Linked DNA regions of Lepisosteus oculatus. The protein of the gene in region 2 purifies or fractionates together with the protein of the main gene of each other region. This does not show direct contact. Links are inferred from orthologs where the notes say so. Each region holds a gene or a part of one and is shown on either strand. Other genes may lie near its edges. The genes, in order: plcg2, lyn and ankrd54.

The links.
Region 1: the proteins of lyn (region 2) and plcg2 purify together in Homo sapiens (affinity purification with western blotting; 3 studies listed by BioGRID, with this or other methods). This does not show direct contact. The link is inferred for Lepisosteus oculatus from reciprocal best matches to the Homo sapiens genes LYN and PLCG2.
Region 3: the proteins of lyn (region 2) and ankrd54 purify together in Homo sapiens (affinity purification with mass spectrometry; 3 studies listed by BioGRID and IntAct, with this or other methods). This does not show direct contact. The link is inferred for Lepisosteus oculatus from reciprocal best matches to the Homo sapiens genes LYN and ANKRD54.

What each region holds. Positions count from the first base shown.
Region 1 is NC_090715.1:12,894,259-12,901,465, forward strand, and holds the start of plcg2 (1-phosphatidylinositol 4,5-bisphosphate phosphodiesterase gamma-2), read left to right. Parts: upstream 1-4,128; 5' UTR 4,129-4,373; intron 4,374-4,397; exon of another isoform or gene 4,398-4,822; intron 4,823-5,344; exon of another isoform or gene 5,345-5,347; 5' UTR 5,348-5,348; coding exon 5,349-5,501; exon of another isoform or gene 5,502-5,508; intron 5,509-5,608; exon of another isoform or gene 5,609-5,936; coding exon of another isoform or gene 5,937-6,017; intron 6,018-6,107; coding exon 6,108-6,341; intron 6,342-7,207. UniProt on the Homo sapiens protein: The production of the second messenger molecules diacylglycerol (DAG) and inositol 1,4,5-trisphosphate (IP3) is mediated by activated phosphatidylinositol-specific phospholipase C enzymes. It is a crucial enzyme in transmembrane signaling.
Region 2 is NC_090701.1:49,187,409-49,195,510, reverse strand, and holds the start of lyn (tyrosine-protein kinase Lyn), read right to left. Parts: upstream 3,042-8,102; 5' UTR 2,957-3,041; intron 1-2,956. UniProt on the Homo sapiens protein: Non-receptor tyrosine-protein kinase that transmits signals from cell surface receptors and plays an important role in the regulation of innate and adaptive immune responses, hematopoiesis, responses to growth factors and cytokines, integrin signaling, but also responses to DNA damage and genotoxic agents.
Region 3 is NC_090707.1:39,581,370-39,588,810, reverse strand, and holds the start of ankrd54 (ankyrin repeat domain-containing protein 54), read left to right. Parts: upstream 1-4,350; 5' UTR 4,351-4,494; coding exon 4,495-4,819; intron 4,820-5,442; coding exon 5,443-5,490; intron 5,491-6,194; coding exon 6,195-6,293; intron 6,294-7,441. UniProt on the Homo sapiens protein: Plays an important role in regulating intracellular signaling events associated with erythroid terminal differentiation.

The DNA.
Region 1 (7,207 bases), on a different chromosome or scaffold from region 2:
TAAAAGGCACAGAGTAAAAGGAAAGAGTGATTAGGCAAGTTAACAGAGGGGCCACAGTTAAAGGCAGCATCCTTTTGTGGTACAGAGAAAAAAAGATGTCGGACAGTTTGTCTGCTGTGTGACCTGGATTCTGTCTGACATGCTAAGTATATTTTTTTAATCTAGAGAAAAAAAAAGGTAACAACAAAAAAAGATGACAAGCAGAACTCAGTTTGCCTTGAAGGCAAATACTTGCAGTTAGCTCTGTGATGAAACTCTGTTTGTTTGTTTTTTTGCTGCCACAAAATGTGGTGCAAAACCCAATCCTGCCAAGTAAGTGGTTCTGTGGTTTGGTTGCCTGAGCAATCTGCAGGTTTCAGGACAGAGCCTTTGAAGTTTTGCGTGCCAGTCAGTCATCTCTGTGCCCTTACAAGGGTCAGATCGGCGCAGTGCAGCCTCTGTGCTGAAACAGGAAGCAGACCAGAGCAGCCTTTACTGACAATCAGCACGGTTTTGGTGTCTTTCTCTGGAAGGAAGCCGAGACATTTATTTTGAGCGTTTGAAAACGGTCTGCACCATTTTGATAGAACAAACACTGGCATACCAAGTTGTTTCAAAGGAAACACAAGCTCCCAGCAGATAATGTTAAAATGCTCTGAAAATGAATGCTAACTAATAAGGGTTTCACAGTAATTCAGGATCACAATCTGAACTTGTGCAAGTTAGGCTCTGATGAGAGCACACTTGCTACAGTAGGTCACAAAGAGCCAGAGCTGGGGTGTAAATGAGAGCACAAGGTTCTGGAAGGAAGCTGGGAAGTCCAGTGTTTCCAGTGGTAAAGGAGGGGATTGTGGGATTATCAATCAATGAAGAAGAGAAGTTACACAGTCAAGCAGTTGCCTCTAGTCAAGTACAAGATTCAGTTGAATAAAAGATTTAATCTAATTAAAACTTAAGGATTTTTCATCATCATCATACCTTTTGTATGGCTGCATGAGGTAGGTATGATGTCAGGAAACCAATTTAGAACAGACCCTAACATCTGGGCCTATTACTTCCTACTGTCCTATGCACAGATGTCTGAATAACACACACAGCTAGATGCTTTTGCAACAAGGTGATTGTGTTAAGCAGTCTTGAAGTGGGCCTACAGTACAGGAAAATCAACATCCTGTGTAAGCCTTTTACTACCATGGAGACTGTGTATTTGGCTCTATCCTCACAGGTTCTCTTCACTTTTGGGCACAAAAAAAAACAGCCCATCTTCCATGGCGGTTTAAATATTTTACACTCGGAGACGAGCTTTGGTGTGAAGATAATGCTATTATGTTACTGTTGTTCGTAATAGCTATTGACACAGCAGGTTCCCAATCTCGTCCCGGAGGCCCACAAGTTTGCCGCTGGCTCCAGCCCCTAGGTGGACTTAGTCAGGCGACCAGCCGGGGAGCGGCCCCGGTGGAGCGCAGATTGCGCGAGGCATTTAGCCGCCCGGCTGAACTCACAGGTCGTGCTATTACGTCATTTCTCATACCGTCGGATGTACCTCTGCAGATGTGTAGGGTTTTAAATAGCTCTTTTTTTTCACTTCATGAAAAAGAACGGCACACGCACAGAGCCACAGACTCTCACAGACGTAACACACTTCCTATCCAGCCCATTCGACGTGATTTTCTTACCATATAGGGCTCGAATTTGAAAAGGAAGCAACACGAAGGTAGATGGTTGGAGGAGAAATATATCCACGACTGTGAAAACCACATGTCTCAGCCTGCTCTGCGACGGAGACAGAGAGACTGACGCGTACAGAGCGTGTCAAAACGCCTTTTATGGCTGGTTTGACTTTTGCCCCCTTTGAAAAAAAAATGCAGAACTAAAACCTTTATTGCTACAGAATCGGTAGCTTTCAAGTGAACTTGTCTTGCGCGGAATGCACAGATCGGGGAATGAGCAGAAGCCGCAGTTACAGTAGCTCAATTAAAATGAACACCTCTGGAAAACCTTTTTTCACAGAACTTTGAGCACACAGTAGGAAGCTGGTGTTGCAAAATGCATCATTTGACTTTTTGGGCATTCAATTTTAAAATGAGGAGGGACGTTTCTGCTATATTCATATTTTTTATGCTAAGGATGACTTGAAACTGCGCTTCGTTTTAACATTTGCATTTGGCCTTGTATTTCAAAACTTCAGCTAACTGCAAAGCTGAGCTACAGCTACAGGGTGCTGGGCGTCCTTCACAACACCGAATATATTTTCTCAACTGGGTTATGAAAGCTTTAAAAATGATGAAATCATATTTGGATTTCAATATCCTGTTGTGTGAGGTAGGGATTTAAAATCCCCCTCATATAATTTTGCCTTGGGGGTTTTAGAAATTCAAGGGTAGGGTGTGTCCCGGCAAAAGAATCATGATTTCATTATGGTCTCATAACAAAAACTACGTATTATACCCTCTACCACAACGATATGATGGAATTTCCAAAATAGGAATGAGCAGAATAATAGGTTCGAAGATTTGTGTAACAGTATTAACGCCTCTGAGCCAGACCTGCTACACTTATCGGTTTTTCACATTTTCACAGCAACAGAAACTCATCTCTTGCATTCTTTGAAAATTCAGTCAATTCAGAATGGGTGAGGAAGACAGACGACGTAAATTGGCAGAACATAAAATATTTTTGAGCATCACCAGGAAAGCCCAGCTCTGTAAACTACCCATATCACCCAACTTAGTCAATCCTGGTTTCAGTCGGAGGACAGTGAGGTATGCTAAATCAGTATGCTACTGTAACCATTCATACTAGATCCCACAGTTTACAAAAGAGATTAACGACCAGAATTTCTCCAGAATAAGAGTTATGCGCTCGTTACCAAAGTTACCAAAGGCTACTGTAGGTTTGCACAAACCGGAAAGCTACAGGTACACCGTACGGACAAGTGTAGAGAAATGAAAGCTTGTGAAAAAGGGCTCTCAAATATGAGAAAACATCTGCCTAATCTGGAAGCAAGGAGCACGTAGCAAGGTAGATTACTCTCTGTGAGCTAGATAGGTACACGCTTTAGCAGTCCAATATATGAGAGGTATACGGCTTGTACAGCCTTTACCGTTGCGCTATCTTCTCTTTTGAAAGCATGGTGTTTTAATTAGCCACCAGAGGAGAAGTTCCTCTTTATTACGGACTGCTTGCCAAAAGCATCAGCAGTGCCATTTTGATGTTGTGATCATCTGTTTTGAAGGACTGTAGAATTGAAATTGAAGTGGGGTAGCTGATAAATGAAAATTGTTTGATGCAATCGTGACTGGGCTTTGAAATTTGCATTTGTGAGTGTGCATGACAGACAAAAACAATGTTATCTGATATTGAAAAAAGTTGAAGCAAGACGTCTGCGCACAACAGGTTAGGTGGATACACACCCACTACACTGAGAGAAAATCTTTATGTCCTTAAAAGGATTTAATCTTCTAGCAGATCCCTTGCTATGTAAGTAACAGTAATAAGTAAACTTGCGCCCCCTTGTGCCAGCGTAATCCTAAAAACGTAATATTCTCTGTATTCACTTTATGTGAAAATATGCTTGAACTTAAGTGCGTAACTAGTGTTTTTTTCCAAAAGAAGAGAAAGTTTTAAGGCACTCTTGAGAGTACTTTAAAATATTTGAAAGCAGGGACATATCTCCGAATTTAATTTGATAGCTGGTAAATCCACTGTATCCTTATTTAAAAAAAACATCAAAGGCGGCAATAAGAGATGACCAATTAATTTTATGAGGGTGCTTACATTAGCCTTACAGCAATATTATTCTGCATGATAAGATGTTACAAATGGAATTGTGTTATTTGTTTTAGCCCGAAGCAATCTACATACAGGGCGGTGTTCCCTGTCACCATAGTGAGATATTAGTTTGGAAGATGCCGGACCTGGTCCCGGGGGGTCCGTGTGTCTGCTTTCTAAATCTCTTTAAAGCACTAGCAGCTGAAATTACTAACTTAACCCGATTAAACCTATTACTAGCTCGCTTAATGTTGTTCATAACCCGTAAAATAAGCACGTTACACTCTCCTTGGATCCCATTGGATACTTCTTTATTTCTGTCCCGCCCAATGTGTATTTTACGAGTATGCTATTGGACAACTTTTCTGTCATTATGGGCACTGTAAGAGGAAGTTCCGGGTCATGTGACTTAACCTGTTTCCTTGGGTTTGGACGTGATGAAAATAACAATTAGTTTAGCCCAAAGAGGTGTTTTCTTATAGTACGGTTCAGTTTTAAATGGGTGCTTGCTGGAGTCTGAGTACTGAAGGTGCTCGTGTTGTCCGAAAATGAGTAAACACAAGTGTGGTTTTGCTCTGTTGTTTATACGTTGAATGCAGTTAACTGGACTTCGTTTGCTCAGGGTAATGATGTATCTTACTGTTGAGTTTAGAATATTTTGCAAATATATTAATTTTAAGGCTTTTCTTTTCTAAGAATCTAATCTGAGAGAATCTAAGAGAAACGTTGTTCTTAACGTTTCAGACCAGTGTAGCTGAGGTATTGAAGCCTCATTCACAAAGTAAAAACAAACTGCTATTAGACATGATATCATAGCTCTATATGTTTAAATCTTTACATATGAAATGTTATTAAAATTAACGAGACCCAATAAAACGCAAGTTTTATCGGACAGCAATTTTGATAAGAAGTGCAGTTTAAATCTCTTTTGATTTACTCTTTTTAAACTCTGGAGGTCTTCCTTTTCCTGGAAGAGTAAAAATCGCCCGGATTATGGCTAATGGCAGTCCCAAGAAAAAGCAACAGGATCAAAGCATCAGTCGATACATACAGGAGGAAAGGGAAAGTGAAGGTTGCAGAATACTTCTCCTGACAGAACTAAAACGAGCCCCAATCCCATGTCTTGCTATAATCGCTATGTGTGATTGCGATTTGACCTGCATTGGAGAATGTAGTACTGTCTTTTTTTATCAGTAAACTCGGCTGGAGGTCCCAGCTTCAGAATTATGTGCTGTTTACGACGGATCACACTGCCGTCTATTGTCAGTGACGGACAGTTCCTAATTGTCAGCTAAAACAAAAACATGTTGTGGCCCCCTTCACTCGTAAAAGTCGCTAAAAATGAGTGTTGTTGTCTATATGTTAGTTTCTTGCTTTTATAAAGCGTTTTTCCTTCCAAAGTGATCCACCTGTGGGACTGCAGGGGGCGGGGGGGGACCCACTTCGTCCGCCCGCGAGGGCAGCCGGCTCCTGGGCGACGGGCGGCAGCCTTGTGCGCCAGCAGCCCGGCCGCACCCAAGTCGTTAAGACCAGACGAGGAGCGGGCTGGTGAGCGGTGCTTTGCGAGTGTTAACGTCTGCGTGTTGTCTTCAAGGAGAATGGGGAATTCCGAGAGCGTCTCCATCCAGCGGCTGTCCCGATTTCGCCCCGAGGAGCGGCCGGTGATCGAGGGGGCGTTTGACAAGCTGTTGGGCTCATGGGTGGCAGCCGCCGGGAAAGGGAGGCCTCTGCTGACCCTGGAAATTGTAAAGGCAAGGAGTAAGCCATTTGTTGTTGTTTTTTGTGTTAGCCCACCCGATTTGGAATCGCCAGTTGCGTGTTTATGACGTCTCGTCTGCAAACCCTGTGACCACACAAGGGGGAGAGAGAGGAAGTGTAGTCAGACTCCTCGCTCCCGTCTGCCTGCGATCCACTCGTTTCTCCGGATGTCCCAGGCAGCACAGCCCCAAAGGGAGAGCTCTGTGCTGATTGGAGGAGAAGCCTTTCCTTCACCGGCACCATCTCATGCCTGCAAGCTTCTGGAAGGCCACAGGGGGCGCTGTGACTCTGAGAGCCACAATCACCCTGGTCGATCAGTAGTCGGCTAGTGACATGATCCTGGCTAGATCCCATGGTCACACAGCTCCGCCAGTGGGCGAAGTCCCTTACTGGATGAGCTACTCAAGAGGCCCCAGAATAAGCCATTTATGATGGTTCTGATTCAAGGGTCTTCAGTCACCAGTCATGAGAAGTGCGCTAGACCCGAGATGGAGTTTAATAAGCAGGAGGTATTGCTGCACATTACTTAGTGACGGCTTAACACCTGTTTGCATTTGGAGAAACTGGTAGTGTCTATGTGTTCTCTTCTTTATCTTCAGGGCTGTCTGCAGGGCCTGGCTACAGACAACATGGCTGTTCGTGTCTACGATGGCATGCGTAACGTGGACCCCACGAGGAAGGCAGCGCCTCCTAGTGGTGCTGTCAGCAAAGAGCAGTTGGTGATCTTCCTCTCAGATATCTTACGAGGCACAGCTGAGGAGAAAGGTCCCGTCGTCCTGTCCATGATCTCTGGAGCTGGGAGAGGCACTGTGAAGGGTGGACAAGTCGGAGAGGTAGTAGGACTCTTAAATTCCTCATTTCCCTGAATCAGACTAGTTCCTGGAAATTGACCAGGGTGATAGACAATTTCCAAGTGTTAGAAGTGCTAGCGAGAGGATGCTGTAGTGGGAGGTGGCCACATGGTAAGTGTACTTGTAACTCACCATAAGCAGTGGATACACCTTGTTAATTATTTTCAGTTTTGATTTTTATTACTTGGATAACATAAGTTCCACCACATGCATATTTGTATTTAAGGTATAATGATATGATTTTTTGGGGTGGCACAGTGGTGCAATGGTTGGCATTACTGTCTCCCAGAGCTGGGGCCCTGGATTCTGTTCTGGACCTGGGGTGCTGTCTGTGTGGAATTGGTATGTTTTCTCCGTGTTTGCATGGTTTTCCTCTAGGTCCTCTAGGTTTCCTCCTACTGTCCAAAGATATACTGGTAGGTGAATTGGCTTCTGGGATAAGTAGGCCTAGCTGTGGGTGTGTGGGTGTTTGTGTGTGCCCTGTGATAGACTGGTGTCTCATCCAGGCTGTATCCTGACTTGTTCCCATTCCTTTTCGGGATAGGCTCCAGGTCCACCATTAAACTTTAAACTGGTAGAAAGGTGTTTCGTGTTGCATGTAGTCTATTAATTTGCTTTGCAGTTATTCTTAACAGTTTCAGGTGCAAAAATGTCCACACACTGTATCATTAAAATGTTAAGCCTTGTAGAAATCATTCTGTTGGAGTTGGAAGTACATTAATGCTGTCTTGGATCTGAAAGCTGGCTGCTGTCCAGGTTTTCTGTCTGTGAAGGCTTAACTTTCTGAATTGACTTGGGCTGTAATACATAAGAATGAAGTCTGTGGCTGCGTTCTTCCCTGCAGTACT
Region 2 (8,102 bases):
TTTATGGACATTTTTTATAGAAAGTTACAATACTGGACATTACTACAGTTATTAAAAAGTGGTCAAAAAAGCCCACAAAATCTGTGCAAACACATATTAATTCTCTCAAATTTCATTTGAGACCAAAGAGAAATGCTCAACGTTTTAAAAAAAAAATAATTGTAGGAACCCAAATAAACTGTCACATCAGAAAGAACAATAAAAAGCGTCGAAGAAAATAGACCTCATAGTTTCTAAACAAAGCTGTTCAAGAGACGATGAAACCACTGAAAGAGCTGGACTTTAGATTGAGAAATGCTGGAGCTGAGACGTCACTGTATTTTTAGATGAGAGCCAGGAAACAGGCAGGGTGCTATGGTCAGATTATCATGGTAACCCTTCTGCAATTGATGTGCTGTATTTCCTCCTCTGAGCTGGGCCATTTGTGCAACAACTCTGACATGTCAGGGGAAGACTGCTGATTCAGATAGTGAGCAGGGTCTTACTACATACAGTAGATAACATGCTGTTTAATGTCCAATAAAATAAAAGCTTATGTAGATAACCACCTGAGAGCTAATACCATCATCAACACGTTTTGTCTCTTTTCAAATGCTAATCCCTATTCTTAATGGCATTTTAGCAAGCATTTTCAAGGAACAATGCCAGATGACATTCAACTTGTTTGGACATTTTAATGTATGTTTTAAACAAATGAGCACACCTCACAAATGTCACAACGGCACAGTTCTTCTTGCAAAAAGGAAATTCTCCATTTGACACACATTAGCTGTTTCGGACCTTGCAAATCATCAAACTCAGCATTTATAAACTTGGCACTACAGAGGGTGATTGGTACCTCCACTCTTAAACTGTCTGATTTTGATTTATGTGGCTTATAGTTAAATAAAATGGACACAGAACCAAATTGTAAGGTTTTACTGCTATCTGCATTAGTGTAATACTGTACTGTATGTGCAGTAAGTGAGCCACAAATTGTGCTGATTGTTTAAGACATCCTCTTATGTCTTATACTATGTTCAAAACACACAAAGTCAAAGCTAAAGCGCAAAACATTACTGCAGCCCCACGGCAGAGGACAACCTGCTCAGTCTGAAAATGATAATCCTGCCAAACCAACAAATTAAGACTCGTTCGAAGAACGACCCCTGCTACTACAACACATAAAGTAGTATGACATGAAGCGTCTGTACAAAAAGATTTCAACAAAACAAGATACAGGTAGATAAGGTAAATTGATGGTATATTGATATAGAATACATTGTATATGTAGGCATTGCTTCCATACTTCAGCAAGGTATTCAGCAGCACAAACTACAAACAGGACTCATTCTTTATCTTATCTGTGGAAGTGATGCTTATGAAAGTACTGAACTAGTGTTAAACTATCAGACAGCACAAACATTTATTATACAATACTATTGTATAGAAAAGTCAATGTGGTTTAGAAAAGATACCAAGCTAAAAGTGTTGAAAACCATCTCTGGGCAATGCGTGTCTAAAACACATGACCACCTGTTTTCTTGCATTTCCTGTGAAGTATGTGGGTTTTGCATTAGGGGTTATAAGCTACTCTCCATTGTTGAAAGGCAAATAATAAGCTACATACTAAAACATTTACAGAAATATAATACATGACATATTTAAAAACAACTTTGCTGATAAAGTCCACAAGATATTTTTAATAAAAGTATAATTCTGCATGCTTGTAAATAATTCATGATGGCATGAATAAAAAACAACCAAAATTTCAATGACATTCAGTTTTTCATGACATCTTTTTTCTTTACATTTTATAGCAAACTAGTATTGAATAACATCATTATTAGGAATACAAATATTCCTAATAAACACACTTTGTTCCAGTGTCTTGAAGTTAAAATCTCAGTACTTCCAGACACCTCTTCTTCAAATTATACACCTGAAGATTCCAGGTGTATAATGAGTCTGCTGAAATGATTGATATTAATGTGAACAAGTTGACTTTTTACTGTTATAGTATCAAACCTAAATAATTTATGGATAGATTTCTAGATGTTGTTGTGTGTTCTGTATTGTTTTTGCTTTATGAACCAGTTAAACAAAATGTTAAAAACTGTAATGTTTGGTTTGCTTAAGCTACCTATCCTGAAAATCCTGAAAGCTATGGTATCTTTCCTTAAATACACAACAAGTATGACACAAAAATTATACTATTTGTGTTTTAGTTTAGCCAGCATTTATTAAAGTACATCTCTAACATTACTTTACCCCATAACAAAGTAAAACAATAAAACGTGAACTTAAAAATTAACAAAAGAAGAGTTTCTAAAATATTAACATTGCCCAGAATTCGCTATATTTTGTTGTTTTAAAAAAAATCATACGATGTTTGTTACATAGAGAAACCCATGATATTAAAAATCTGAAGCACTTTGCACAGTCATAGAAATACAATCTTATTCTGCTAACATATCTAGAAACATACGTGTTGGGAGGCACACACATCGACACCTACAAATGGTTTCAAGACAGCCCTCTACTTCAGTGCTTATTCACGGACTGTACATTAAGTCAGATAAAACACACTCTGCTCCTAGAAGACGTTTATTGCATTTTACTTGGGTTTAGAAACTGTTGTGTTATTAAAAGACGGTAAAAGAATGTACTTTACACGTACAGTGCTTTGAAGATATGGAGCATAATATTTCCATGAAAGATGATAATGATTATGGAGATGATGCAAATACTGTCTTTATTAATAGACTGTAAAAACCAACGGGAAAACAAACAGCTGAACCGAAGTAACGTTTTTAAAAAACTGTATCAAATAGAACTCTTACCACCTTAATTTCAGGTACTATTATTGAAAGAAAATATCTTTTTTTTAATGTCAAGAATTGAGTACAGAATGGTGTTACCACCAAACTTAGTATACTAGTAACTGTTTAGGACTATAACAAAATAATTGACTTACTTTTGTAAATTATAGATCCTTGTTCTGTCCAGTAATTGGCGCCTTTAAATTGTCGCAGATCAACTATTTTTCGAATTTCACGCGTACTGTTTACACATTTATTCTTCTGAAAAATGAAGTCCAGTTTTAATTTCTGCTGTTAACATCTAGCACACAGAATGAGGAACTTGGTTTTCAGAATTGGTTTGGGAGTTTTTAGTGCAACTTCCTGGTACAATGTTCAGTATGTTTAGCATTTATTTGCATAATACCCCTGCGCTCTTCAAATGTCCGGTCTCTGGAGACCTTTATGTTATCTTGAACACAAGCAAAATTTCTGGGGAAAGCAAGAATACTGGAGTTGCAAGTGCCAACCATTAAAAAAGCATTTCAGGAATTAATGCACTTTTTTTTTAGAGGAGCAAGTTATTAATACTATTTGTAAAAGGATTCTGTGACCGATTACAAAGCGTTGCTCTCTGAAAGTAACGAAATAGTTTTTTTAATGCTACAACAAATCCACGAATTTGACTTCTACAAAATCAGACAAAAACTCATGTTTCTTCTCCCAGTGGCGCATATCTGTAGTGATATAATATTGATACCGCATTGAGAGGTTTTAGATGGATTTTGTATGGATTGTAAAATGGATGGAAATTCAAATACCTATTATAAATTATATAAATTAGGAAACACGTGTTATGCTTTTATGTCCAAAATTCAAAGGATATTTTTTTATAAAAATACCCATTAATTTATTTTTTCGGAATGCTGCAGCAAACTGTTATTTGCTTTTCTGCAAATTTATATTAGGTATAAGTAAGCTGAACAATCAATATAATAAATAGAGTAAACAAAAGCGCAAATCGGAAAACGTACTCATAATGGCCAAAGGCCATAAAAGCAACTACTGTATATGTTCTTCCCTTACAAAACCCTTACGAAGACGAGAGGTCAGCTGGTCTGCTCAGATTTATTGCCACACAACTCAAGAATCTGGTAATTAACGAAGTGAGTAACAAAACTCGAACCGCCTGTTTTGCTTAGTTACTTTATTAAAAACGTTGAAGGCGCTCTATGTAATATGAGTCTCCTGGAGTGAGAGCGAAGGCGATGGAGTTATAATTCTAAAAATAAATTAACAGACACTGTATGGAACAAACAAGCAACAACGTTTTTAAATATTGATTTATCCGTTACCATCCACACCAGGCACCTTTTTTTTTTTTGCTGTAACAGAAGCTGTTGAATCACCAGCATATGCGTGTGTCCAGTACCATACATTTCAAAATCACTCAGAAATGTATCTAGTAATCTCATTTACTGCATCTCTTGCTTCTCTTACATCGGTGAGACAAGAAGAAAACTTGCTAACCGTTTCAGGGAGCACATCAGAGTTGTAAGGATGAAAAATCTCTCCACCCAAATAGTTCTCCATTTCACCTGTCCTGGCCATGATTTCACTGACCGTTTTGTCTGTATCCTTTTACAGGGGTTTCAATACTACTGCTTCAGGAAAAACAAACAAACAAACAAGATTTTCCTTAAATTTGGATGTCTTCCTACCCCCTTTAATGATAGACGGATTTCTTTTTGAGCCATATCCATTCCAATTTTGTCACCTCTCCCCCGGATCTCTGTTTGTTTGGACACTTTTCCTCACCTGCTCTGTGCATTTTTTTCATTTGCTCCTTCCTTTTGTTCACCTGTGCTTTATATCCTTTCTACCCGTCTTCTCTCTTCCTCACACTAGAAGACAGCTCTACAGTCAAAATCTTGTCTCTTCTATTTAAGAATGGAACTAACCTTTACTTGTAACTTTAATTATTAATTTCAGTGAAAAATCCTACTGGATAACCTACTGTACGTAGCAGCTGAGGGATTTTTAGCCTCTTGTATATAGCTATGTGTTAATCACTTGGGTTCATATTCTCTTTAACACAGTGGCTTTCTCATGATTCAGGCTCTTGATGTGGCTTACAGGGGGTTCTATGACTGCTTAGACCCTGATCAATCAGTGACAGAAGTGGCAGCCGATGATTCTTCTATCACATCACTTCCTCATTTGCTTAAGAGACCTCAGATGTTGTCTGTTCCAGCAGATGTACTTTACTGGATAGGATAAGTTCTCGGAGTGTTACTCTGGCCCAGTGTAGAAGCTATGATTGGCCATGCATGCTCTCTATCCAATTTCACAGCCACTTCTTCTCAGGGCTGTGCTGACAAGTCTTTAGCAGAAGGCACTGCTTGTAGAAGTGCCTGGGTTGTAGAATTCAGCTTCTTCCATTCACCTGCCCATGCTTCCCTGAGGCTAGGACGTTTTGGACACAGATGTCCTTGCCATGTATGAACACTTGCCTTGGACTCTCTGCCAAACATGAGCTCTGCTGCTTGTTGCAAAACAGGATATGTAGTTATTCCTATCCGACACCTTACAATAATTCTTTTGTTGCTTGTTCCATACAATTAAACACAACATACAAGCTCAACTGAGACCAGATATCTTCTGCTGATATGCCTGAGCAGATTTCCCAAACTGTGCCATTGATCAAACAACTTACTGTGTGCTAAACAAAGGCAGTGAGGGGTTCAAAAGACACAAATATCTGAAAAACACCACCTGCGATCAGCTGATTGATCAGCAGTTACCTGGTCAAAGTCATCCGTGCAATGTTATCAGCAGCACGTTGTCTAGCCTTATTGCGCATCTTGCATTCTTGTATTTGTTGTTGATCAGATTGATGAAGGTCTGTTTCAATAAAACTAGTGTTTATAACAGATATAACATGATATACATGAACAGTTAAAAGCAGAAAGAAGAAACATGATGTTTTGGCTGTGGAGCCTTCTTTAGGTGTGAAGGCTCCACAGCTGAAAAGTTGTGCATCTTCTTTCTGCTTTTCAGCATAGAAAAGAAGAAAGACATCAATGCACTTATGTTGTAATGTTAGTGAACTGTTGCAAATCTCATTTACATATGAGCAACAATTTCCATTACAAGTGCGGACTTCCTAATTCTGGATGGACGTATTGCAAATTACAAAACGAAAGTTATAAATAAGACTGTTACAGTATGTGGCTGTCAGAAAATAAAGCCTGTTTTGCCAGGCAGGCAAACTATTTAGAAATGGAACCATCTATATCCAGCTGGACATGGGGGTCTAGTTCTATCCTTCATGAAAACCATTCATGGATTTTCCATTCCTAAGCACAGAAAATGTGCACAGTGTGACACGTGCCAGCCCACCAGTGTATGTTTATGTGGTTTATCTCCTCTGGGATCCTATCTTATCTTTTAAACATCGGTCTCTTGCAGTCTTCCTAATTCCTCCTGCTCTTCCCTCTCTCTTTTCTTCATTGGGTACGTTCAGCTGCACTCACTAACTCTAACCACTCCACCTCCATGGCACCTGCAACCAGAAATATATGATAAATACTAAATGCCTCCACTGACAGCCTATGCCATGTTGAAGAGAAAGTAACGATCTTGATGAAGCTTTCCCTGACTAGAGTGAAAAACAGCTGGGAATGAGGAGGAAACAGGCTGCCTGCACTATGCCCTGTACTGGTCTGAAAACAATGCACACAGAGATTGGGTGGAAAGTGGATCTGGAAGACAGACGGGGGTCAGACATTCATCGACAAACTAACATTTGAGGAAAACACGGATGCTGTATGTAAGAAGAACCAACGGCATTTGCTTTTCCTGACTTAACTCCGCTCTTTTAACGAGTTGTACGACAGCAATGACATTATTCTACAGAATGTTTACTAAATCTGTTGTCACCTTCACTGTAGCGACCTGGTTTGGTAACCTGGATACACACGTTAAAAACAGAGTAAGCAGGAAGGTGGAGGCAGCTAGCAAAGCCAATGGTGTACAACATCTACAGATGGCAGACGTCTACACCAAGCAAGTTATGCGGTGGCACAGAGCTGACAGTCAAAGCCCAGTGATAGGACACTGACACTGAAATTGTATTTCTTTGCTGTCAGGCAGGGTTTATAATACCTGTCAAATCCAGAATAAACAACATCATTGGCAGTAGAATAGTCATTGTAATATGCAGGCTTGATGCTCCTGAAAAAGGTGCTTAAATCTTCAGTCTTTAAAGGCTGATTTGAAACGGTAAGATTATAAATAACAAAGGTGGCAACATCGAAGCACAATGTTGAAAAATCAATGCACGCTAACTACATCCACACAAAGCATCCACTTTGTAGCACGTGGCTTCTGTCCTTAATGTCCATGACTGCGAATGGCGTACAGCTCTGGTGGACTGCCAAACAACATGAAGATATTACACACACAGCCTGTGCTAACGCCAAGTTTCTCATGTTCCTCCACTGTGCCATCTCTCCTGCTTTAAGTAGAAAACTTACAGTGGTGATGAGATCCTTAAAATAAAACCAATTAAAAAGAATCCAATAGCTTATTCTTAAGACACTTCTGTTTTTGAATATGTAAGATTTTTTATCAAATGGAAAAAAAAAACTAAAAAATGAAATAGTCCTTTTTAAAAACATGGAATAACGTGTTGGCCATTTCTGGTGCTACATTTATACACACCCCAAAAAATAACTTTTTTTCTTCCGTCTCTTTGATCCGTTTATAAAAGACATGTGAAAAAGCTTGTCTTTGCCAACTTAGTGCTTTTTCCAAAGTCACAAAAACTCACATCCTTAAATTGTACAATGAAAACATTTTGTGTAGCAACAAATCTAGCTGTTAACATCTGACAACTGAAATATACTCCACCAGTGAACAAACTACTAGTATTAAGAAAATCTACAAAAATAGTTATGGAATATAATGTTTTAATAGGAACTTTGATCGATATGCCTAAAAAAAAATATAACACTGCCAACAGTATAATTCAAGCTTTGTTACCATATACTGTACATGAATATGGGTTCAAAAATCCAATAATCTTTAAAATAAAAAAAACAATAATGGGATATAGCATGAGCATTACTGATTCACTTTTATAGAAAAGGTACTTTACACAACAAATACATGATAGTTTCAATATTAAACGCTTCTGAAGCACTTAACAGAACAGGTTTAATATTTACAATTCATCAAGAACACTGGTAACATTTCTCAAAATACTTGTAGGCATCTTCTGAAAAATGTATGTAAAATTAAGTCTTAATATATGACAGT
Region 3 (7,441 bases), on a different chromosome or scaffold from region 2:
GAGTGTGGTGGTGGCTGTGTACTTGCAGGTGATACAGCGAGCTCTGTTGCAAGGGAAAGTGCCTGGTGTGGATGGTTGTTGAGGGCGGTCAAGGGAGCTGTGAACAAGGAGGTTACGCAGATTAGGTGGTCGGCGATATGAGATGATAGGGCGATCAGAAAAGAGGGCCCCAATGGAGGGATCATCCTGTAGGATGGAAAAATTCTGGTTAATGGTCCTGGGGATAGGAAGTGTGTTAGGGTGGTAAGGAAGCACCAAGGGAATGCGGTTGTTACGGCGGGAGTTCCTGATCGGGTTGATGGTCCGGGGGGTGTTTTTGGCTCGGGCAAGGGCCCTGTCAATCACACTGCTGGGGTATCCTCTGTTGATAAAAAATGAGTACATTTCGAGGGCTTGGTTCTCGAAGTCGATGTCGTCGCTGCATAGTCTTCGTAACCTAAGGAACTGTGAAAAAGGAAGAGAGTTTTTAGTGTGGTTGGGGTGAAATGAGCTGTACAGGAGGTAGCTGTGTGAATCCGTGGGTTTGTAATAAACTGAAGTGGAAAGTCGGGGGTAGTTGATAGACAAGTGGATGTCTAGAAACGGAAGAGTGGTGGAAGATATGTGAACTGTATATTTGAGGGACGGGTGGAAGTTGGTGAAATGGTGCAGGAAGAACTCGAGCTGATCGTTGGAGCATGTGGCGGCACCGACGCAATCATCAATATATCGTTTGTAGAGGTCAGGGACATAGCCAGTGTAGGAGGCGAAGAAGCGTTCTTCTACCCAGCCGACAAAAATGTTGGCATAGCTGGGTCCCATTCTGGTGCCCATGGCAACTCCACTGACCTGTTGGTAAAAAAGATTATTGAAAGAGAATGCGTTCAGTGTGAGGACCAATTCTGCAAGGCGTACCAGGGTGTGGGTGGGTGGATCAAGCACTGTGCGTTTGTCCAGCGTGTGCTTGAGTGCTGTAAGGCCGTCATTATGGGGAATGACGGTGTACAGAGATGTGATGTCCATGGTAAAAATGTGGCATTCGGTACCCTGAAATTGGAAATCATTGAAAAGTTGGAGCGCGTGGTTGGTGTCTTTGATGTATGAGGGAAGATCTTCAACCAGCGGTCTCATGAGGCTGTCGAGAAAGGCTGAGATGTAAGTAGTTGGACAGTTACATGCTGATACGATGGGGCGTCCAGGGGTGTCCGGTTTGTGGATTTTGGGGAGGAGGTAAAATTGAGATACCTGTGGATGTTCCATGATGAGCCGGTTCGCCTCCTGGGGGAGCTCGTTACTGCTGATAAGAAGGGAAATGGTGGATACCACTTCCTTTTGGTAGTCAGTGGTAGGGTCTTTTTTGACGCAGCTACCCACCTGAACTATATATATACAGTATATGTATCATCTCGTACATATACTGACAGACTTCTTTAATCAACGAAATGGACATTACTGTAAAATATTAAATTACTGCACGTAGTTATTTCAACAATATGAATGTAAGAGTATTTACTTCAAATCTGAATATTCTCAAAGAGAGAAATGGGAATATACCTGGTGGTCTGAGCTCATCTCTCGTCTTTCTGCTGAGCTCGTTACGGTTTGGGGAGCCTCTGTCCGAGGGGCGCACAGAGAAGCCCACCACAGCTGGCCCTCCTTCCCGGGACGTGGGGGCTGGTGCCGCGTGGCTGGGTGGCTGAAACACAACACTCAGGACAGACCGACATTTCAGGCTTCGTGTTTATCGTCACGCCGACCGGAGCCCAGTGAAATCCTTGCCTGCGCGATTCCCCACGTAACACACCACAGCATCAGCTGTTGGAGACGAGAACGCGGGACAGCGAGTGGAGAGTGGCAGCAGTGTGCGCCACCTCGCGGTGGGCAGCAGCCCACAGCCTATAGATCAGGAGCAGATTCCCGACAAGAACACCGGCCCGGGGCTTTAAACCTGTTAACCCCGGAGTGACCCCGCCCCGCTGGTACTGAAGACAGAAGCAGAGCACACTCGCTAAACGCACAGAGAATATCAGGGCGGAACATGAACCCCCTGCAACTGAGCTCCGGAGGTGCTGCCTTTGGAGCTGTCCAGTGTGCACTGGGAACATCGTGTACAAGCCGAGTGTAAAGAGAACAGCGAGCAGAGACGGGCAGGCTGGAGGAACTGGGTCCCACGATTTCTCAAAATGAACACACATACACCGATACAGCGGGCACAAGTAACAACTGGAGGAAGAGCAGGAAAAACTGAGAGGAGGAGGCTCTACTGTACACAGAGAGGGGTGGGAGACACAACTGGGTGAACTCCTGCAGCCAGGACAGGAGGCTCTACTGTACACAGAGAGGGGTTGGAGGGGGGAACAAGCTGCCCAGCCATGTTGTTGAAGCCGATACCCTGGCTTCTATCCAGACACAGCTGGATGAGCTCCTCCAGTCAGGACAGGAGGCCCTACTGTACACAGAGAGTGGTGGGAGAGGGGAACATATTCTCTCCAGACACAGTTGGATAAGCTCCTGCAGCCAGGACAGGAGGCTCTACTGTACACAGAGAGGGGTGGGAGGGGGGAACAAGCTGCTCAGCACGTAGGTGCAGCCCATACCCTGGCTTCTCTCCAGACACAGCTGGCTGAGCTCCTGGGATTAATTAGCTAAAGCAAACAAATGACCTTCTTTAGCTCAGCTGGCAAGACCTGGGTTCGAGCCCATGCAGTGAGGCACGAACTAGGGTGGGAGCGGCGAGGGCACAAGCCCTTGAACCCGAATCCGTTACAACAGCGAAAGGACAGACAATGAAATGTGGGCATTTCGAAGTCGTAATTCTGAGATACAAAGTCACAATTGCGAGGTACCATAGCGCGTTGTTTTTACTCCCTGGCGGAAACGGGCTTCCATATTATCAGAAGCGCTGCGGCCGTAGCCTGATAAAGCGCACTTGAGCACACTTACAAGAAATTGTATATTGTCAATAAAGTGATCTAATACCTTATCCGTGTCGCCCTTGTACACAGTGCCACTTAACAACATCCTGGTTATTCTTCACGTTGACGAGTGTTCTTTGCACAAAAAGAGCAACAGCTGTCTTGTTGTTCGTAAAGTTGCAAATTCAAGCCTTTTTGCACACGTGGCTTGACTGGCGGGTCGAATCTTTACAAGGCCCTTGGTGCGCGTGTTTATTGAAGAAGGAGACGGTGAGAAATTGATCACTTCTGATTTTTAAAACAGGACACCGCTGTGAAGTTTTAAGACGTGCTTGTTAGAATATACGATTGTTTGCTAAAGTTCGCTTTTTCAGGCTACACCCTACACCTTATCAGCTCGTCTGATAAGGGTTGGATATTAGAGAGAAATTTAATCTTCCTGTTCACACAGACGCACATAAAATGCTGGTATTACATGCAAACTCCAGCGCCGCCCCCCACCTGGGCAAACAGAGGAACACGATTGCAGAACTGTTAGTCTTGCACCAGTAACACGCATGAGCTCGGCAGACGGCGCAGTATCTCGGGTCCGAAAACAACACAAACGCAGCACTAAATTCACAGAGCTAATTACTTGTACTGGTCCTCGTCGGCTTAAGCCAGCAGCCACGTCACCCTGCAGCTCACCACTGGCAGCCCACTGGAGCTCAGCAGGTGTGAGCCTGGCCAGTACCTGGATGGGAGACCTCCTGGGAAAAACTAAGGTTGCTGCTGGAAGAGGTGTCAGTGGGGCCAGCAGGGGGCGCTCACCCTGGGGTCCGTGTGGGTCCTAATGGCCCAGTATAGTGACGGGGACACTATACTGTAAACAGGCGCTGTCCTTCGGATGAGACGTAGAACCAAGGTCCTGACTCTCTGTTGTCATTAAAAATCCCAGGGTGTTTCTCAAAAAGAGTAGGGGTGTAACCCCGATGTCCTGGCCAAATTTCCCATTGGCCCTTACCAATCATGGCCTCCTAATAATCCTCCTCTATGAACTGGCTTCATTACTCTGCTCTCCTCCCCACTGAGAGCTGGTGTGTGGTGAGTGATCTGGTGCACTATGGCTGCCGTGGTGGAGGGGATCCCCATTACCAGTAAAGCGCTTTGAGTGGAGTGTCCAGAAAAGTGCTATATAAGTATAAGCAATTATTATAATAATAATAAGAATTAATAATAAAGTCCCCCCACGTCCCACCTCTCCAGTGTGTTCATTGGCGGAGCGGGTGCAAATGACGTTCTCTGATTGGTCTTCACAGGAATCAATCAAGTCACTTCCGGGAATAGAAACAATGGGTGGGCGCACTTTCCTCACACGCATGCGTACATGAAACAGCGCCACAGCGGTGAAACAGGTGCCATCTTGGCTCTGCACAATAGAGTTCTCCACGTTCTGTAGAGTAGGGGTACGGAGCCAAAATGGTGGACTCAGGGGCTGCAGTTTCAAACTTGGTGGTTTTGTTATGCTTTGCAGTGACTGATATGGCGTTCTGATTTCAGACACGGTGTTTTTGTAAATAAACCAAGAGTTTGCAATACAACACGCACAAGAAGGTTCGGAATGGAGGGCTGGAGCCCGGTGGTGGCTTCGGACGAAGAGCGGTCCAGTTCGGATGGAGAGGACGTGGTCCCGCCGGAGGCTCCGCATCGGGAGTCCGGAGCGGAGGCGGCCGGGTTCGGGTTCGCCGGACTGGGGGACGGGGTGCGGCTCGGCGGGGCCGGTGCGGCCGCAGACCCGGGACTCCGGTACCTGCACGTGCTCTGGGATCCGAACCGGGCCGAGCCCGAGCCCTGCAGCCCCCGCCGGCCCGGGAAGCTGGGAGTCTGCCGCCTGAGGCGCCACGGGAGAGCGCAGCGCGCCGCGCCGCTGGGGAGAGAGACGCACGGTACCGGTTCTGGCTCGTATCGCCTAGCGGGCTGTCCGCAGCGTAGAGCAGCGCGGCCCACACCGCCTGTATAGCGCCTTTCCCCGCGGGGACGCAGGCCGACCGCCGTGCGGGTCAGTCCCTGCTCTCAGGCCCAGGGAGGAGTGACCGAGAGACCAGCCCGAGTAACGGGTCGTGTCCCACCTGGTCACCTTACGGGACAGTGCAGAGCGCCCCCTGCTGGTGGAGTCAGCGCTGTCAAGTCGGGTGCCCAGCAGAGCTTGTGTAGTGTCAGTTGTGTCAGGAGAGTCGCTTGTGTTGGTTGTGTGAGTGTCAGGAGTGTCGTTCTGTTGTGTCAGTACTGTCCGTTGTGTTAGTGTCAGGGCTGTCGGTTGTGAAAGTCGGGATTCAGGAGTGTTGGTTGTGTCAGGAGTGTCGGTTGTGTTAGTGTCAGGGGATTCAGGAGTGTCGGTTGTGTCAGGAGTGTCGGTTGTGTTAGTGTCAGGGGATTCAGGAGTGTTGGTTGTGTCAGGAGTGTCGGTTGTGTTAGTGTCAGGGGATTCAGGAGTGTTGGTTGTGTCAGGAGCGTCGGTTGTGTGTGGGTACTGTTAGTGTGTCCTCTGATTCTCTCTCTCTGTGTTCAGCTGGGAAGAGGCTGAGAGAGGCAGCCAATAGCAATGACATTGACACAGGTAAGCTCACCCCCTGACCCCTGACCTCACCACTGTACCCCACCCAAACCTCACCCTTGACCCCTGACCTCACCACTGTACCCCACCCAAACCTCACCCCCTGACCCCTGACCTCACCACTGTACCCCACCCCAACCTCACCCCCTGACCCCTGACCTCACCACTGTACCCCACCCCAACCTCACCACTGTACACTGTGTTGTGGTTGTGTAGTGCTATGTAGTAGTAGTGCTGTGTTGTGTGTTGTGTACAGTATAGATCTGTGTTGTGTAGTACTGTGTGTGTGGTATGCTGTGTAGTACTGTCTTGTGTGGTGTGTTGTGTAGTACTGTGTGTTTGCTGTGTTGTAATGTTTTCTCCATGTGGGTCTGTGTGCTGTGTGTTGTGTGCTGTTTTGTGTAGTACTGTGTGTGTGCTGTGTATTAATGTTTCTCCGTGCAGGCCTGTGTGCTGTGTTGTGTAGTAATGTGTGTGTGCTGTGTTGTGTAGTAATGTTTTCTCCATGTGGGCCTGTGTGCTGTGTTGTAGTCTTAGTATCCGTCTGCAGTGTAGTGTAGTTCTGTGTGTACAGCAGTGTGCTGTGTTGTGGTTGTGGAGCTCTGTGTTGTGTGGTGTGTTGTGTGTTGTGTACAGTGTAGATCTGTGTTGTGTAGTGCTGTGTGTGTGTAGTAATGTTTTCTCCGTGCGGGCCTGTGTGCCGGCAGTGCGGCGCCTCCTGGAGGATGACGCTGACCCCTGCGCCGCGGACGACAAGGGCCGCACCGCCCTGCACTTCGCCTCCTGCAACGGCAACGAGGGCATCGGTGAGCGAGGGGGAGGCGCAGCGGGGCGTCTGAGGGGGAGGCGCAGCGGGAGGCGCAGCGGGGGGTCTGAGGGGGAGGCGCAGTGGGGGGTCTGGGGGGTCTGAGGGGGAGGCGCAGCGGGAGGCGCAGCGGGGCGTCTGAGGGGGAGGCGCAGTGGGGGGTCTGAGGGGGAGGCGCAGCGGGAGGCGCAGCGGGGCGTCTGAGGGGGAGGCGCAGTGGGGGGTCTGAGGGGGAGGCGCAGCGGGAGGCGCAGCGGGGCGTCTGAGGGGGAGGCGCAGTGGGGGGTCCGAGGGGGAGGCGCAGCGGGAGGCGCAGCGGGGGGTCTGAGGGGGAGGCGCAGCGGGAGGCGCAGCGGGGCGTCTGAGGGGGAGGCGCAGTGGGGGGTCTGAGGGGGAGGCGCAGTGGGGGGTTTGAGGGGGAGGCGCAGCGGGAGGCGCAGCGGGGCGTCTGAGGGGGAGGCGCAGTGGGGGGTCTGAGGGGGAGGCGCAGCGGGAGGCGCAGCGGGGGGTCTGAGGGGGAGGCGCAGCGGGAGGCGCAGCGGGGGGTCTGAGGGGGAGGCGCAGTGGGGGGTCTGAGGGGGAGGCGCAGCGGGAGGCGCAGCGGGGCGTCTGAGGGGGAGGCGCAGTGGGGGGTCTGAGGGGGAGGCGCAGCGGGAGGCGCAGCGGGGCGTCTGAGGGGGAGGCGCAGTGGGGGGTCTGAGGGGGAGGCGCAGCGGGAGGCGCAGCGGGGGGTCTGAGGGGGAGGCGCAGCGGGAGGCGCAGCGGGGCGTCTGAGGGGGAGGCGCAGTGGGGGGTCTGAGGGGGAGGCGCAGTGGGAGGCGCAGCGGGGGGTCTGAGGGGGAGGCGCAGCGGGAGGCGCAGCGGGGGGTCTGAGGGGGAGGCGCAGTGGGGGGTCTGAGGGGGAGGCGCAGCGGGAGGCGCAGTGGGGGGTCTGAGGGGGAGGCGCAGCGGGAGGCGCAGCGGGGGGTCTGAGGGGGAGGCGCAGTGGGGGGTCTGAGGGGGAGGCGCAGCGGGGGGTCTGAGGGGGAGGCGCAGCGGGAGGCGCAGCAGGGGGTCTGAGGGGGAGGCGCAGCGGGGGGTCTGAGGGGGAGGCGCAGCGGGGGGTCCAAGGGGGAGGCGCAGCGGGGGGTCTGAGGGGGAGGCGCAGCG